3 linked regions of the Bombyx mori genome follow. The protein of the gene in region 2 purifies or fractionates together with the protein of the main gene of each other region. This does not show direct contact. Links are inferred from orthologs where the notes say so. Each region holds a gene or a part of one and is shown on either strand. Other genes may lie near its edges. The genes, in order: gamma-soluble NSF attachment protein, syntaxin-7 and BET1-like protein.

The links.
Region 1: the proteins of syntaxin-7 (region 2) and gamma-soluble NSF attachment protein purify together in Homo sapiens (affinity purification with mass spectrometry; 3 studies listed by BioGRID and IntAct, counting the BioPlex papers as one, with this or other methods). This does not show direct contact. The link is inferred for Bombyx mori from reciprocal best matches to the Homo sapiens genes STX7 and NAPG.
Region 3: the proteins of syntaxin-7 (region 2) and BET1-like protein purify together in Homo sapiens (affinity purification with mass spectrometry; 3 studies listed by BioGRID and IntAct, with this or other methods). This does not show direct contact. The link is inferred for Bombyx mori from reciprocal best matches to the Homo sapiens genes STX7 and BET1.

What each region holds. Positions count from the first base shown.
Region 1 is NC_085107.1:1,351,847-1,358,149, forward strand, and holds the end of gamma-soluble NSF attachment protein, read right to left. Parts: intron 5,000-6,303; coding exon 4,892-4,999; 3' UTR 1,612-4,891; downstream 1-1,611. UniProt on the Homo sapiens protein: Required for vesicular transport between the endoplasmic reticulum and the Golgi apparatus.
Region 2 is NC_085107.1:5,738,539-5,744,963, reverse strand, and holds the start of syntaxin-7, read right to left. Parts: upstream 4,478-6,425; 5' UTR 4,277-4,477; intron 4,200-4,276; 5' UTR 4,195-4,199; coding exon 4,089-4,194; intron 1-4,088. UniProt on the Homo sapiens protein: May be involved in protein trafficking from the plasma membrane to the early endosome (EE) as well as in homotypic fusion of endocytic organelles. Mediates the endocytic trafficking from early endosomes to late endosomes and lysosomes.
Region 3 is NC_085114.1:8,351,552-8,356,367, reverse strand, and holds BET1-like protein, read right to left. Parts: upstream 1,985-4,816; 5' UTR 1,702-1,984; coding exon 1,363-1,701; 3' UTR 1,270-1,362; downstream 1-1,269. UniProt on the Homo sapiens protein: Required for vesicular transport from the ER to the Golgi complex. Functions as a SNARE involved in the docking process of ER-derived vesicles with the cis-Golgi membrane.

The sequences.
Region 1 (6,303 bases), about 4.4 Mb from region 2:
TCATAAAAAGTTACACTTACATTCAAAACATTCCCCGCAAAACTGCTTACGCAGTTTAACTGCAGGTAACTCGCTTTATACAAACATAGCGTATAAACCATTCAACTAGCTTATACTTTAATAACACAATTAATTTACGTAAATGGTTACAACGTATTTAACAAATGTTTTTTTATTTAAATTTAGCAAGTATAGGCTCACGTCTTATGTCCTCGGGTAAACTATTGAGTAAGTATGGAACACGTTTTTTTAACGTTCTATCTCCATAGTAATTAGCTCGTACGCCCGTCTAAGAGAGAGAGAGACAGAGAATACACTTTATTGCACACCAAAACACAACTTACATTCAAAAAACAATGCAAGCAATGAAGCAAAGGTAATTAATTCCACGAGAGTATCTCGGTGGTGAAGTAGTTAGCGGCCCTGTTTGTTGCGCCGAGGGTCGTGGGTTTGGTACACACATTAGTGTGCTTAGTGCGAGATTTTTAACGCTCTCGATAGCGTAAAAGTTTACTCAAGTTTATATGGAGTCGTCGCTGTCGTCGCCGAACATACGCGGGTGGGTACCTCGTATGAGGTTTTCTTATATCTCGAGGTGGGTGGCGCATTTACGTTGTAGATGTTCATGGGCTCCAGTAACCACTTAATACCAGGTGGACTGTGAGCTCGTCCATCCATCTAAGCAATAAATAAAAAAAAGGTTCGGCCCCCGGCCCGAGAAAAAAATATGTACGGAGTTGGAAGGTTTGCCTACGTTTGCCGCTAGGGGCGCTGCAGTAAGTATGGCAGTCTCCGGTACCAATAACACAGGGAATCCTAATTTTTTATTATTAATATACTACAGTTTGGTCAAATTGACTTCATTAAATAGGTTAGCTTCAACCATCATTGTTACTGCAAGTAAGACAAATTACCTAATAACCGTATCAAGCTTTATGGGACTTGCATATCTCCGCTTCGAATAAAGTGATGCCTCTACTTTACTTATCTTTATTATCCGAAAGAGTGAGACTGGTGAGATTTGTGTAATAGATCCTCATATTTCGACTCCGTTTGATAGAGTCCGCACAAATGTTTTTTTTTTTTGTTTGTTTATTAGAGCCATGCACCTATTAGGTTAAGTCGGCTTCGCAAATGTAATTGGATTTGGAATTTTTGTTTCAAAGGAATCCTTAGGAATCCTTTAGAATCAGGAACCTTAGGAATCAGAGTTTTCATTCAATAAGGCATACCTTATACATGATTTGGCAATTCGCTGACAAATGTTCTTAAGCAGATTGACGTCATCCGGTTCTTTTTTTTTCTACCGTACCACCTTGAGAGGCTATGTCTGCGTAACCCTAGGGTGTAGGTGAGCTCTCGGGGCTCAAACCAGGAGGTGTTGCTAACACTGGCCCTAGCAAGAGCCGTGCTTTGCAGAATCTACCACCGGATCGGAAACGCGACCCACTGAGAAGATCCGGCGAGAAACTCAGTGGGCTGTGTCGTATGGTGGTCATCTGGGCGGTGGTCGTAAATCTTAATTCAATTCAGATTATACTGTGTGACCACTTAGGATAGGTGATGGGAGTGGTATAAACGACAAGATAGGTTTTAATAATAACGCTGGTCTATTGATTACATTTATTACTAATAAAAGTGAACATATAGTGGGCTCTCCACTTTACTCATACATCATTAAAACTGACGCCTGCACTTACTGAACGCGGCAAATTGAACTTGAACTATAGATATCCCACTGATGCGTGGTTAATATTACATTGTTTCATATTATATTAATGATGCATTTCATATTAAATTACACGAATAGAGTCTTAAATATGTGTCCGTCGATTATTGTGCATTTGCATAGAACAATCTGAAGTTAGTCGTTGCTGAAATGTGATTATATAGCCCTAATAGCCATACTCGGATTTTAAAAGTTTTATAGCCACTCAAATAATTTATAGATAAGAATAAGAAAAAGATTCTAGTACCGGTAAAATGGGGCGATTAGGGATTGAGAGGCGAATCGGGAAAAAACCGGGAAAATTTTTCGACGCTCAATATAAGTTTTATATTCGTTGCAAAATCTTCCGTTTTTTGTAGTTTAATAGTAGAATGTTGAAAGTTCACAAAACAAATCTGAATATGCATGATAATAGCTGCTAACTTATAAAAAATCGCGTTTCAAATTAACTTCCTGTGGTGGTAATTATTTTAGTGCTAGAAACTTTGCTCTCTTTTATTTATTTGATAATAATAGAAGACGACTATGATTTATAAACGTTATTTAGTGTTTGAACCAGCATATATATTAAAGGTAAGTCTCAGTTGTTATTGGTTTTAATGTATTTGATCAAATAAAAATACATGTAAAAATCTGTTGTTTTTGGGGATATTGGGGACGCTTTAGGTATAAATAACAACGAAAAAGGGGTCAATTGGGATGAGAATACGTGAAATGGAAACGACCTAAGTATAAATAGGTACAGGTTTGTAGGGTTGTCTATGTAGTTATAAAAATATTATTTAAATTTGTTGGTAAAAATCTGGTTTATTCGAAGCGAAATTGGGAATAAGTCTTTAGTTGAAATAGATAAGCAATTTAATATAAGTAAGTCGATTTTGCAGAGACATGTAACAAGATCAATGAAATCTCAAGGTGGACCAAAATGTCTAAGTAATACATAATAAAATATTTAATATTTGTTCAGAGTGGGAGTATTCATCTGATTAATCCATGGAATAACCGACACACCTAATCTCTGAACCCAGATAGAAATATCAGCCCTTAAGTACTTACCAAGAACGGAGAAATATAAACCGTTTCTAAGAAAGCCCACTATATATGTATAAATAAATATATATGTATATATATATTTTTTTGTTGTTGTTAATGCACTGTCGATTGCACCTATAATTGAGGTGATGTCTGCCATGTACTTTTGTCAGTTTTCAATTTTTTTTATTGATGATCACTTTGTTGGTGCAACTAAATAAATAAATAAATTAAAACTATATATAAAAATAAAAGTAGTGCCAACCCTAGCAAATTTCTCATTTCGTCCCAATTAACCGCAATTTTCGGGTAAATAGGGATTACACCTATTTTTGCATTTTTTGCTTAAACTGGAATGCTAGTTGCATAATTTTAAATTAGACAACAAAGATGCCCCCAAGACTCAACCATTTTGATCCTGATATAGCATTATATACATCAACAACTACCTTAAAATTGCTCATAAAGTTGGAATTTGTCCCTAATCGCCCCATTTTACGGTATCGTAAAATGCACAATAATCTTCCATTTGTAAATCCAGCAATCGTTTCATTAAACTTAAGCTGTAAACGTTAGCCGCGGCTAAAGTATCAAATACATACGAACGAAATCTTACTACGCTCAAACGATTACGATACTTGCTATTTAAGTTTTTTATCGAGTCTTACTGTTTCAAAGGCAGCGGCTGAAACGCCAAATACAAAAGACAAAACATTATATCCTTTTGCCACGTCAAGCGATACCTACGCTTTTTGTGCGTGTTTTCAGACTTGTTCTTAGTTCTAAATAGGCAGTTGAAGTTTGACGTTTCTTTATTGTCAACGCTACAGCAGTAGTTTTTTTTTTAAAGTTATGCCAACAAATTCACTATTGTTGCTGTTGTTACGCTCGGGCTTAACATATGCATACGATCGAATAATCGACTTACTAGTTGTCGATGATGGTCTTAATTGAACGGACGGTGTTGTATTTAATATTTGTCGCATTAATCTCGAGATGTTGAATGGTCAATGGAAATCCATAGACCACAACTGAATAATAGTTCGATTAACGATTCGTATAAATGCGCTTAGCCTGGCTGAATTTAGGACAGTGTCGTTCTATTTAAGATTCTATTACCGATTAAAACTTAACAACATACTTAATTATTTAAAAAAAAGTACATAAATATAATTAATATACAAAAACTGAGCATACAAAGAATCGTAAATGAAAAGTATTATACATTAATTAACTATCAAAACAATTAAACAAAAGGATGCATCTTTTATACATACACTTACATGATTAAATGTTAAGTTAAAGATTAATGATAACATATGTTCGGGAACCGCCGGATCAATAGCATATTGCACTAAACAACACAATCACAAGATTAATGACGTCATCCGATATGAGACAATGACGCGTTGCTAGATTTCGTTACGGTAATACAATTATGTACGGCGTTATCCCCTTATACTAATATCTAATAATATTTGATTACGGAATACATTCAAAGTGAAGGTTTCAATCGCTATGGGCGTAATTACTTAAGCTGAGGAATGTAACTAGTATATTAACCCGTTTCGCTTTAACATTACGAATTTACAGAATACGCAAGATAGATAAGAGGTTGGAACACATCATATCAGACGATATGGTACGATTGTGTGACGGTAGTGTTTTCGATGGCAAACGTAAAAAATATTCAAATTACGGCGCGTGTTTTAATTAAACGAAATAAAATAAGGTAATTCATGTATCACAGAAAGAAATCGTATGAGATTAAACAATAATCATACAACGTCACGTTTGGATTCAAATCCATCAATGTAATGGCAACACAAAAATTTAAAATCACGCAACTCGTGCGACTATTGACTCTTAGCGGTTTCTGCGCTATACATTGCTGACTCGACATGTAACGAAAAAAAATAAACTTGTGTCTTGTTTGTGTGTCGTCAATAAATTACAGTTACAGCTCATAATCCATCACTAAGTTCCTCCTCCGATAAATTTCTCAAAGGAAGAAGCACCACTCGAATTCATTAACGCCTTCTTCGCCTAAAAGTCTCTGGGCTATGTGTGTGGTCTAAGGTGTGTATTCGGGAAGCGGATGTTAAGGAAACGGGTTTATTACGAATTGATTTAGCAGAGCTCCTCGTCTTCGTCCTCTTCCTCGATCTTCTTGGGGCCGTAAGTGACGGGCTCATACGGAGATTCCTCATTCTCCTCGTCGTAGGCACGATGATGTTCCTGTAAAACAATTAATCAATATTTCGAGTGTCACCATCGGATTATATATATTTTTTAAAGCGATATTATGACCTGGTAACTAAGACCTTTAGATCTAGTCTTATTAGATCTTTAGTCTTATTTTAATTTATATTCTTATTTTTATGAAAAATGATAATATGGAGTGAAATGAAATTAATTGAAGATAATTATTTTAATACGTTAATCAACTGAGACGAAATTAAATGAAATGAGATGAGATGATATGGGATGAAATATAATCTCAGTAAAATGGTGGTTATCTATTGAGACTTTTTCAGTAGGCTTTTTGAAGGATCACGAGAAGTTACGTCCAGCAGCTTTGTTTCATTTCCCCACATTTTTGCACTTTCACATATACTAAACAGTTAATAAACTACCGTTATTACGCATTTAAACATGAAGAAACGCTAAATAGATAACATAAAACAAATCACACAACTTCACTCCTCGTGTTCCCGCCAAAAAGTCTCATCGGATTATAATAAACTAGCGAACCACCCACGCTTCGCTTCGGAAACTGTAATTTATTATTGATTTCTCCACTATTTAATGGATGTTATTATACATATAAACCTTCTTCTTCAATCACTCTATCTATTAAAAAAACCGCATCAAAATCTGTTGCGTAGTTTTAAAGATTTAAGCATACATAGGGACAGACAGATATAGGGACAGAGAAAGCGACTTTGTTTTATACTATGTAGTGATTCACCCATTTATATAATAAATCGATCTTTTTTTTTTTTTTTTTTTTTTTTTTTTTTTTTTTTTTTTTTTTTTTTTTTTTTTTTTTTATTGCCCTTGTAGGCAGACGAGCATACGGCCCACCTGATGGTGAGTGGTTACCGTTGCCCATGGACTTCAGCAATGCCAGGGGCAGAGCCAAGCCGCTGCCTACCGCTTAATACTCTCCACAAGCCTCGTTTGAAGAAGGACATGTCATAGCGCTCGGGAAACACCGTGGAGGGGAGCTCATTCCATAGCCGGATGGTACGTGGCAAAAAAGATCTCTGGAAACGCACTGTGGATGACCGCAGTGGCTCCAGGTAGTACGGATGAACTCTACTCCGATGGCGGGCGGTGCGATGGTAAAAACGAGATGCCGGTATCATCTCGAACAATTCCTCAGAGCACTCCCCATGGAACATACGGTATAAAATACAGAGAGAACCGAAGTCCCTCCGCAGACCCAGAGGTTCCAAACGATCCGTGAGACCGGGATTATCGACAATCCGAACGGCCCTCCTCTGTATGGAGTCAAATGGAAGAAGCTGGTATTTGGG
Region 2 (6,425 bases):
GGTATAAATGAAAATCAGAAAAAAAAGGGTTAATTACTAATGATACATTATAATGAGTTCCTATTTCTGCCACAATTTAATCCTGTTTGAAGGGTTAACTTTTATACAATATAATTGAGAGATCCACACTATGCCCTATTGTGAATGGTGGCATTCCTTTGGATTTCTGGGCTCATCTACCTATGAATAATGTATTTTATGGATAATGTATTTAAACGATTGCCTTTGTTTACTAGATAGTAGAAATATAATCTATACTAATATTATAAAGAGGAAAGATTGGTTTGTTTGTTTGTTTCGAATAGGCTCCGAAACTACTGGACCGATTTGAAAAATTATTTTTCCATTAGAAGCCGACATTGTCCCTGATGAACATAGGCTACTTTTTTAATTTTTTTTTTTTTTTTAGGTTTCATGTGTGTTTTAATGTTTCCGAAGCGAAGCGAGGGCGGGTCGCTAGTATTATATAAAATAATAGTTCAGATTTCAGGGAACATTTTTAGTTTTGAAAATTACTGAAAAACTTAAAGCTTAGCAAATTTTAATTTTAAATTTTAATGTTTCTTATCATTATTATAATCATTTCAATTAACAGAGCCATCATATTAACAGTCCTGATAAGCACTAATGAAGTTCAACTACATAAAAACATGATTTATGTACAAGGAAAATGTACAACAGTAATTATATAGGTAGTAAGTGAAAAGTTTTAGCTATTTTTCTCATTTGCTTTTTCCTTATACAATCAATTTATTTCATTTTCTAATGTATGTATACGTATATTATATATACTACTAAATTAAGAATTGTGAAATACGATATACTTCTTAGGATTAAAATATAAATAAAATTTAATTTGTAATGTTATTCTAAAGCCAATTTATTGTTAATTAAATTTCACATTGCAAAATAGCACATTCTAGCAAGTTTTTATGGGTTTTGTTTATTTGTGGAGACCACTGTAATATTGTTTCTAGTTCTTTACTACTACGTCTACAACTAAAGTAGTTATATTATATTATATATTATATTATGTACATGAGTATTAAAAGAGTAATTTCCCAAAGTCATTGCCATAATTCATATTAACAATTTCGAAAAATCCATGTTAGAACTATTTCAAACTGTTAAAGAGTACTTTAAAAGAGACCTTAATTTATTTATGGAAGTAAACTAAATATACAGAGCTTAAAATGAATCTATATATTGGTAGCTTAGGAAGTTACATAAAAGAGAAAGCCTTTGCTACCACAACACACAGGACAAACGCCTTCGATTTGATGAGAATCCGATCAAACCCTCCCACTCATATCCTCACACATAAAAACCAATAACAGCCGCCAAACGGATAATCCAACCAAATTATGAAAACCAAACAAAAGAAATAACACAATTTCCTGCAAGCCACAAGTCCTTGCAGGAGAAAAGGAGCACAATCCTCCAACCACATAAGAAAACAATTGCAAAATTTTTAAAACAATTACACAAGATCAAAAGAGATCAGTATAAAGTAGGTTGGAGGAGGCCTTTGCCAACAGCCTATGGATTTACAGAAAGTAAAGAAGCACCAAATATGTGAATAATTTTAATTGTGTTAAATACATAAAAGTGCAGTAGTATAAGAAAGATAATTGTAAATCTGTTGTCTGAACAAAAGGCTTTATTATTTTATATATTGAAATTTATTAAAAGTACTTATGTTAGTTATTAATTATTTAAGATTCTTCATAAATAACTGAATGACAAAATGCAAAAAACCCATAGACACAGCCCACTGAGTTTCTCGCTGGATCTTCTCAGTGGGTCGCGTTTCCGATCCGGTGGTAGATTCTGCGAAGCACTGCTCTTGCTAGGGTCAGTGTTAGCAACTCTCCGGTTGAGCCCCGCGAGCTCACCTACAAACGTTAGGGTGAAGCTGAAATAGCCTCTCAAGGCTATCAGCATAGGTAGAAAAAAAAATGCATAAAGAATTGTTCAAATCAAACTGGCATATGCTGTGCTCTAACATAAGACTTCAAATGCTTTGGTATAAACATAACTATCAAAATGCATTTTTAATGATGAATTTTGTAAATACTAAAATACTATTCTGTTTTTCTTTTTTATTTGATAAGTACACCTCAGTAAATTCCTTTCATTCAAAAATTCTTGCTCACATATTGGCTATTTTCAAGAGGCCTCTCTTTGTGATTTCACCACTGTTCTTTTGTTTAACGTTTTGTATCTTTATTTATTTTATATGATTGGTACACATGTGCATGTGTTATTTTATTTTTATTATTACATATAGCTACATACATAACAATTATGTATGTAGTAAAAGTTCAGATATTGGTGTACAATAAAGCATACTTTACTTTTGATGTAGACTGATTTTTTCTTTGCATATGTTTAAGGACAAACATTATCCTAATTTTAATATATTTTATCTAACTTCATAAAACTTTTTTCTTAATATTTATATTTGTTTACTTACAAATAGCAACTACAGTCAAAATCTGTTATAACGACATCGAAGGGACTGCTCATATTAAGTCGTAAAAACCGATAGTCGTAACAACCGGTGATGTATATAATGTGTATCGTGAAAGTACAAACAAATCGATAGGGAATTATTGGAAAAATATATTTACATAATACGCGATTTTTCTTCAATATTAATTTGTTTTCTTTTTCTTTGCGACATTTTGAAAGTTTCACGAATAACTCCACAAAGTTTTGGTGCGTCTTGTGTATAGATAAGTAACAAACTAACTGAAGCGATATGAAGAAGCGGGCTTTGACTCTACTGCATGCACGTGTTTTGTTTCTAAGAATTAGAAAAGACCCTACACTAAACTAAATCCTATTGTTTTCTTTCCTGATTTTAATAGCCATTGAAGACAAATGTGGATACCTATTCAAATTGTTTACAATACAGCTTAGTCGGTCGTTCTAACAGATCTAATTCTCCGAAATATTAGTTAAATGTGGTCGTTTTATGAGGTATGTCGTTATAAGCAATGTCGTAGAAAGCAATATTTTTAATAAGGCGGTCATATGGCATTCAGCCGGGACCTTTGTTCTTGGTTATTATAACTGGCATGTCGTATTAAACGATGTCGCAGTAAACGGTTTTGACTGTATATGCATTATTCAAGTTAAATAATTTTAAGACACCATTTAGTCAATAAATCTAAACAAAACATTTTTTTTTTTTGGTCAGCAGGAAATCACCAGACTTCCACCATTTTCTGGGGATACTGAGCAGGGTATGTCAGAGTCGAACTGACTAAAACCTCCTGTCGCTCAACAACCAATGTCCAAACCTCGCATGAGACAGAACTCATGACAAGGCAAAGGGGGGAAAGTGAAGCGTTTAGTGCGGAGCACATCTCTCCCATCACCCTCCCCCTCGGGACGCCAGACTGGCGGTCGTCAGTTGTACAAAGTTAATCCTTATTATTATTATTATTACAGATGAATATTGACAGCTCAAATAAAATTGGTATAATAAAGTAAGAGTGGGGCATATAATGATAGCAAGGAGATCACTTGGCGATGAGCGAATTCAACATTTTAGAAAAAAAGCATGATAGAAAGATCCTACGCCAGACTGGCGGTCGTCAGTTGTACAAAGTTAATCCTTATTATTATTATTATTTCAGATGAATATTGACAGCTCAAATAAAATTGGTATAATAAAGTAAGAGTGGGGCATATAATGATAGCAAGGAGATCACTTGGCGATGAGCGAATTCAACATTTTAGAAAAAAAGCATGATAGAAAGATCCTGTCTCTTTTAGCCTCAAAGTAGTCTCAAGTTCCAGAGTGAATGGTGAGACAGCCAACATTATTCAAAACACTTGAGACTCCAGGAGCCTGAAGGTGGCAGCATTCTCAGTGCTATCTATGGGTTTTGTAGTCTAACTTAGAACTTAAAACATTAAATATTGAAACACATGTTAGAAAAACTTTAGTAAGAACGATTCTAATCAGTAAAATTTCTAATTGATTTGATTTTTCCTAGTAATTTTGTATCTCTCTAATATTAGGCTTAGATTCACATACGTTAATCTCACATTTCAGCATTCAAAATAACACTTACCATTTTGGGATATTTTCTTAATATTACTGGCGATAGTTTGAGAAAGTCGTTGAAAGTTATCTCCATTCTCATCGTATGACACACCTCCTTGATAAGACGCCTCCATTTTCACTACGAAATAAACAATAAATAATCGATATACAATGAAAGTAAACGTGAAAATATAGTGTTATTAATCATGTACCTACCCACTATAAATTGAAAGAGATGGTGAGTATGTATAGTTTTATGTTAATTAAAATAATGGTTTGTATTCTTCTTCCCATACACTACAGAGCTATGATAGAAAACAATCAAACGCAGAATATGCTACTCATTTACTACAGATAAGTTTAGAGCTGATCATAGGACTGCAGTTACTGCTTGCTCAAAATTACTCATCAAAAATGACAGTTGACAAAACAGATTGTTGTTTGTTTGATTTGTTCTGTAGAAAGGCAAAGAAAACAGAGCCCATAGATATTTTTTTGTAAAAAGGACGGAAGGCGTGTCTGTTATGTGAAATTTTAAATGGACTGAAATTATATGACATAAGACATCAGAGCAATAGTTGGATAAAATTAAATTAATTAACTCTCAACAACGTGGTGGGCATTTGTAAACAGTTCAATGCATTTTTTTAAAAACCCAATGCAATTATGTTTAATTTTCCCAAAGCTCTCACTGACGTGATTACTGTTTTCAATTTAATTGAACCTATTGGATACTTGAACTTTTTGAAAACTTATTTTATTATTTATTAAATGCTTAAACTGAAAAAAAATTATTACAAAATGTATGCCTTCTCTTTAAGTAACATCAGATCGGTATAGAGATAGTAGGGCTCTCTCTTTCCCACTATATATCATCTTCAGCAAAAAACTGGCTAGGGTACTACTACCGTATTCACGTATCTTCCCTAATCGTTGCAGAATGACATTGACACGTTTTTACTAAGAATCTGCTGGTCGCCAGCACATATTGGCCCATAGACTAGTTCAAAAAATAAAAAGCTCACTGATAGCAGTTAATAGACTCTGATACAATCGCGCATTTAAAGATAGAAAATGCTTCATTGTTGGTATGGCCTTACAAGCTTTTCCATTACATCATATAGTGTAAGAGACTATTGAAGGCTTCGTAAATGGGTCATGCTCTTTTTGTCATGAAATGGAGTGAATGACTTAGAATTACATTAATTTCCCCGCTAAGCCACTTCTGGGTCATTTTTTATCCCATCTAAACTCATCGTCTCACAAGATAGTTCGAAGCAAGCCTTTTAGAAGGCTGGAATGCCATGCTCTAAAAAGTGGATAATGGATGTTTTACAGTATTTTTTTTATATTTTAATTAGTAAAATTTTAAAATCAACTATATTTTAAAAATAAAAATAAAACCATACATATAATGATGAAAACTTTCAAATGAAAATAATAACCTATAACTCCTTTTATCATGAGTGGCGGCTATAAAATCGACCATTAGATCTTGGTAGCACGGTTTCAACCTATTATGAGAAAACTAGAAAAAAGGCGAGATTAAATATAATCTTAACAATACCTAACAAGGTGAAATATAAAAATAACTAACTCTTTTCTTAGCATGATGTTTTAATTAAACCGGCCCTAGATAATGTATTTTTAATCATAAAAACTTTATTTGAAAACTAAAATATTTTGTAATAATTAATGCAAGAAATTGATGATTCAGACCAACTTAATTAACAAAAACCTTATTATGTATTTTTCAGTTTCTTATCTTTTACTGCACATAAACAACAGATTCATTCCAATACGGGTAAATTTATCAGAATAAGTCGAAAATCATTAAATTGTTATGCTAACGAATTCACACACCCCGGATTGTACTAGATTCTATAATGTTGACTTACATTTTACATGGGTAATGTTTTTTAGTCTATGGAAGACTGTTTCACTGTAGTGTACGTACACTGGTACACACTACCTTCACCGACGTATTAGGACTCATCTCTTACCTGTTCCTGTTTAATGTCTCTATTGTCTTCGTGTCCCCGTCTCTGAGAGTCCGTGAATTTTGTATTAAAATTGCTGCCCCAGTGTTTTGTGTGAATGAATCAATAAAGATTGCCTTTAAGCCCCGTCTTTTGAGACAATGAAATACGTAGTTTTTAGATTTTTGAGGGTTTGATTTCTATCACGTATTTAATATAGTATTCTAGCTTTCCAAATATGTCTGGTTGAAATTGAACCCTTAATAACGACATGTTGGGGTACTCTCATTGTCATGAATAACTGTGAATCGAAAAGAATCATAAATTAAGGTAGGTCAATTTTAAAGTGCTTACTACCTACATAAGTTGGGAACAAAACTGTGAAG
Region 3 (4,816 bases), on a different chromosome or scaffold from region 2:
TATTATCATGTGCAGAGTTAATTACTACATTAATCAAATTACTTTCTCAACATCAATTATCTATACCGTACCACGCTGCTAATTTCATTCAAACTTACACTAATATTAATAATGGTTAACACGGACAGTTTCCTTCGTTTTTTATTATTCATAAACTGTAAATAATTAAAACGGCGAATTATAAAAATATTATTATTTGACACTGGCTAATACACAAAACGTGCCAGAACCAAAAAAAAACTAATAAATTAATGTGTGAACTAAATAGAAAGAGATGTGAGATACATAATACATATTACTTAGTGAGAAAAGATGACCTAAGTATTTGAAATAGGCACTAAAATTTATAAATAAACATAAATGAAAATACTTTTTACTTGCTTATTTCTTGTTATTTTTGCCAAATTTTTAGATAGCGCATTTTGATGTTTATATTAGCTACTTCAGAAATTGAATGTATTTGCTATGGAAGGTAACAAAATACAATTCTACTTTGAAGAAACAAGTTTAAACAGAATAAATCTTTTTAAAGAAGCTTTATCCAGTGCAGAAAACGGAAGAGTTCTTTATATTCTCCATGAAGAATTAAGTCAGCTACCCACATTATCACAAGATTTAAATTCAGTGAATAGACATTTCATGAAAATGATTAGTTTTCTTTATGTAGAAACTATTGAAGCACTTATAGACAGTGTTTCAACACTACCAGATTGGCAGAATGTGCCCTCAACAATTATTTTAGATGACTTAAGCAAGTTCTTCAGTAGAAACAACCAACAAAACATTTATGGGATTATTGCTCTGTTGATGGACAGTGTACGGATCTGTTCTGTTTCACTCGGAAAGCCATGTAATTTATTTGTTGCTGTAAGTAAAGAAGTTGTAGGCGATGATTTTTGTAAAATCTTAAAAGAATTATACTTTTGATTGAAGTTTAAAAACTAGTTAGCATAATTATTATAGGGAATACTTACTAATGATCACATATGAGCATCATTTTAAGTATTATACTTATTTGTTGCATAAGTAGGTGAGTGAGTTAAGTGGATACCTAAGCCTATAGATAACAATCAAAACTTAAATACCGCTGACTATCTTTAGAGCTAAGGTTAAAGGCTCAATTGTATTTTATTATGGCTGTCCTTCAAACAACATATGGTTACTTAGTGAAGGAAAAAATTAAATGTTGACACCTACCTGTGCAAGCTAGTACTTATCATTGAAACATATTGTAAAAGTTGTGGAATAAGTGAAATAAAATAAACATTTAATTTATACATATGTTTTATTTACATTTCAACATATACAAAATTTATTTCGAAACACTTATAATACACAGGAGTGATGGATGGGTAATGAAAATCATCTAAATTTTAAAATAATATACAACAAAAAGAACACAAAAATGGAGAAGAGGAATAGATAGAAAATATAATAGTTGTGGTTCCCTTTGCCAAGCCTTAAAACTCTTCCCATGGTTTTTCCAAGGAAACCTGAGCTTCTGTCAACATCATCATCTAATCCACGCAAAAGTTTTTCTTGGTCCCTTACTTCATTGCCTAACTCAATGGAAATGTATTTAAGTGAAGATATCTTGCCACTGAGTTCTTCAGCCATTCGTTCATTTTCATTTTCGATAGTATCTTCCGTAGCTACTCTGGGCACTGGCTGATAGTGGTAGCCTTCGCGGGCTCGCCTCATATTCGTTCGGCCCGCCGTTTTGATTAGCAGCAAGACACAAGAGTGATGATGATAATCAGGTCTTGGTTAATTACGTCCTTCGTTAGACGTTTATTTAATTTTGGATCTACTTGCCGCCTATTTACTATAAAATATTGTTTGTTTTTGTCAATTTGTAATAGGATATGAAAAAAAAACACTAATTTAATAATCTGGACACATTGAAAACATACATGGTTTACAGTAAGTATATAATTTGCTTTTATGTAGTTGTGTTAGATGTGATAGTCTCCTACGTGTTTATCTGACTCAAATGTCAACTGTCAATAGTAGTAGTAGCTCCATTTATCCAACTGAAAAGACGAAGGTCTCCTAATATTATGCATATTTCGTTTTATGACAAATTTAATGGACCGCATTGAAATAATGTTGATTAATTTGAAATTTTAATCATTTGAGATGAAATTAAATGAAACTTGATAATGCGGGTCTCAGTAAATGGTGTTTATTTACTTAAACTTTCTCAGTGAACGTTTTGAAAGAACTCGAGAAGCTACGTCCAGTGGCTTTGTTTTATTTTCCCACAATGTGCACTTACACAGATACTAAACAGTTAATAAAGCACCGCTATTATAAATTAACAAAATAGAACAATTCACACAACTTCGCTCCTCGCGTTCCCGTCAGAGTTCGACGTGCGAACTAGCTCATAGACACAACTCACTGGGTTTCTCACCGGGTCTTTTCAGTGGTTTACAATTCCGATCCGGTGGTAGATTCTGCGAAACACTACTATTGCTAGGGCCAGTGCTAGCAAACTCTCAGATTGAATGACCTCACCTACCAGTCGGTGATTAGCTGGAATAGACCCTTAGGGCTACCAGCGATTAGGTAGAGAAAAAAGTCTTCAACGCTCATCTTTCAGTCTACCAGTCACATAGTAGAACTGAAATCCTACGAGCTGATGAAGGAAAATACTTAGGGCTATCCCGCAATAGGCGAAACACAGAGAATTCTGTGTTACAGTACCGTGACACGTAACTAACGATGAGCACGACCACAAAATTAAGGAACAAGTGGAAGCATATATAAAAACAAAATATTGCAATTCCTAATACTCACGAGACAATCAGCTTCAGAACTAAAAAATAAATAAATAAACCTACTAATATTGATTTTTTTTATTGCTTAGATGGGTGGACGAGCTCACAGCCCACCTGGTCTTGTGGTTACTGGAGTCCATAGACATCTACAACGTAAATGCACCATCCACCTTGGTTTCACTGCAAAAATAGGCAGGGTGGTGGTACCTACCCGTGCGGACTGGACACATACTGCCCAATTTCCCAAATTAATCGTGGGTTTTCACAATTATTATAGATAAATTAAAAAAATTATATTTAGAAAGTAGATTATGCAGATAAATATTTCTTGTTTACATCGCAACGTTGAGGCACTTTGATTTAAAAAATGTCGTGATTCGTACTTTATTTAAATTACAATTTTCAACGTTGATAATAATATCAGAAGGCCCTTTAAAAAAAAAACATGGAAACTGGTTTTTCGAACAGTTTAATTAAGCATTGGCGCACTCATATCGCATGAAAAGTTTTTAATCTGTTCAATCAAGAAAATGTATTTCCGAAAATGCTTTCAAAGTAATTAAACGATAATTCAACCTGCAAACTTTTTCTTATCCCTTTTAAGCCGCCGTTAATTAGCTATTCCCGGGCCCTACAACGTCTTTTTAACATTTTCTTTTGATTTTGCACGCGCATGAACTTCATGCTTTTTCGACTTGGTGCTCGACTTCCCATCTGCCGCTCAGAATTCGTGCGCTTGGAAGTTGGAACGGGTTTACATAATATACCTTCTCTTGTGAACTTTTAATAAGTCGCTGAACGCAGAACGCAAAATAATTAATAATTTAATAAAACATGCTACATACATACTCAATTATTTTATTTTTCAATAATTATTATTGTACAAAGTTTTAACAGTCAGTAACTATCGAAGAATAAAGCTTTCTTATTACTACTTACATAAAAATTTAATGTGCCTCGAGGGGAATGTATTGCACATAGCAGTTGATTTCAGAACATAATATAGAAAAACTGATTGAACAAAAATTATAAATCTACATATACATAAGATTGTTGTTAATATTTTCTACTGAATTAAGTATCTAATTAATTTCAGTTTGTTTTTATTCACGCAGATATAAAATTAAAAAAAAACATTATTCAATGAATGCCTAGCTTTTTGCTGCTAAATAATAGTAGTCATATAATCCTTGAAACAAACTCAAATGATGACAGTAGCATATGAATAATATTATGTGATGAGTAGTCCATCAAGAATATGTATAATTAAATAAGATAGGCGATTAGCATTTAGAATATGTTAGAGAACCATCCCAGCTTCGCTGCAAAGTACTTATTATGTCGTAAACTATCATTCTGAGGGAGAAAAATCAAAACAGTTTGACGATCGACTACCACGTACCTAATCGTTACCACTGCGACTAACGCATCAGCTTTAGAGCCGGTATTCCTAAAACATACTTGGAGGAAGGTAGTTTAGGCAAGAAGACGAACATATTTAAAAAGTCAATCTACCCTCTGTATATGAAAACTAGATAAGTCTGTTTTTAAATTTCACGAGGTGACTTAATTAACGTTTTATCTTCTGTCGCGACAATGTTGTTTCTCGGATAGTGAAAAAACACACGTTTTCCCTTTAAAAATGTTTACGAAACCGAATGCGACTTTTTATAATACCCGAAAATCAACGATTTGAAGCCTCTGTTGAGAACCTCTGCAACGAAATCATAGATCCAAAGATAATGGATTCAGCTATTAAAAAAGTATTAACTGGTGAAACCCAGAATACGCTTCGGTATTCTGGGTTTCACCCACTAATACTACTATACTGGGTACTACCCCAAATAGTATGATAAACATAGATTTTTTGGAATTACTGGAGTGCCATATACTCTCCTATGATAATACGACAGAAACATTTTCTACAGCGCGAACAAAAATTTTACCAATTTTCATCACATTCCGATGAAAGATTTAGAAAGGTATGGAGGACAAACAAAACTCGAGTTCAGAGATACTATAAGCGTTTAAAA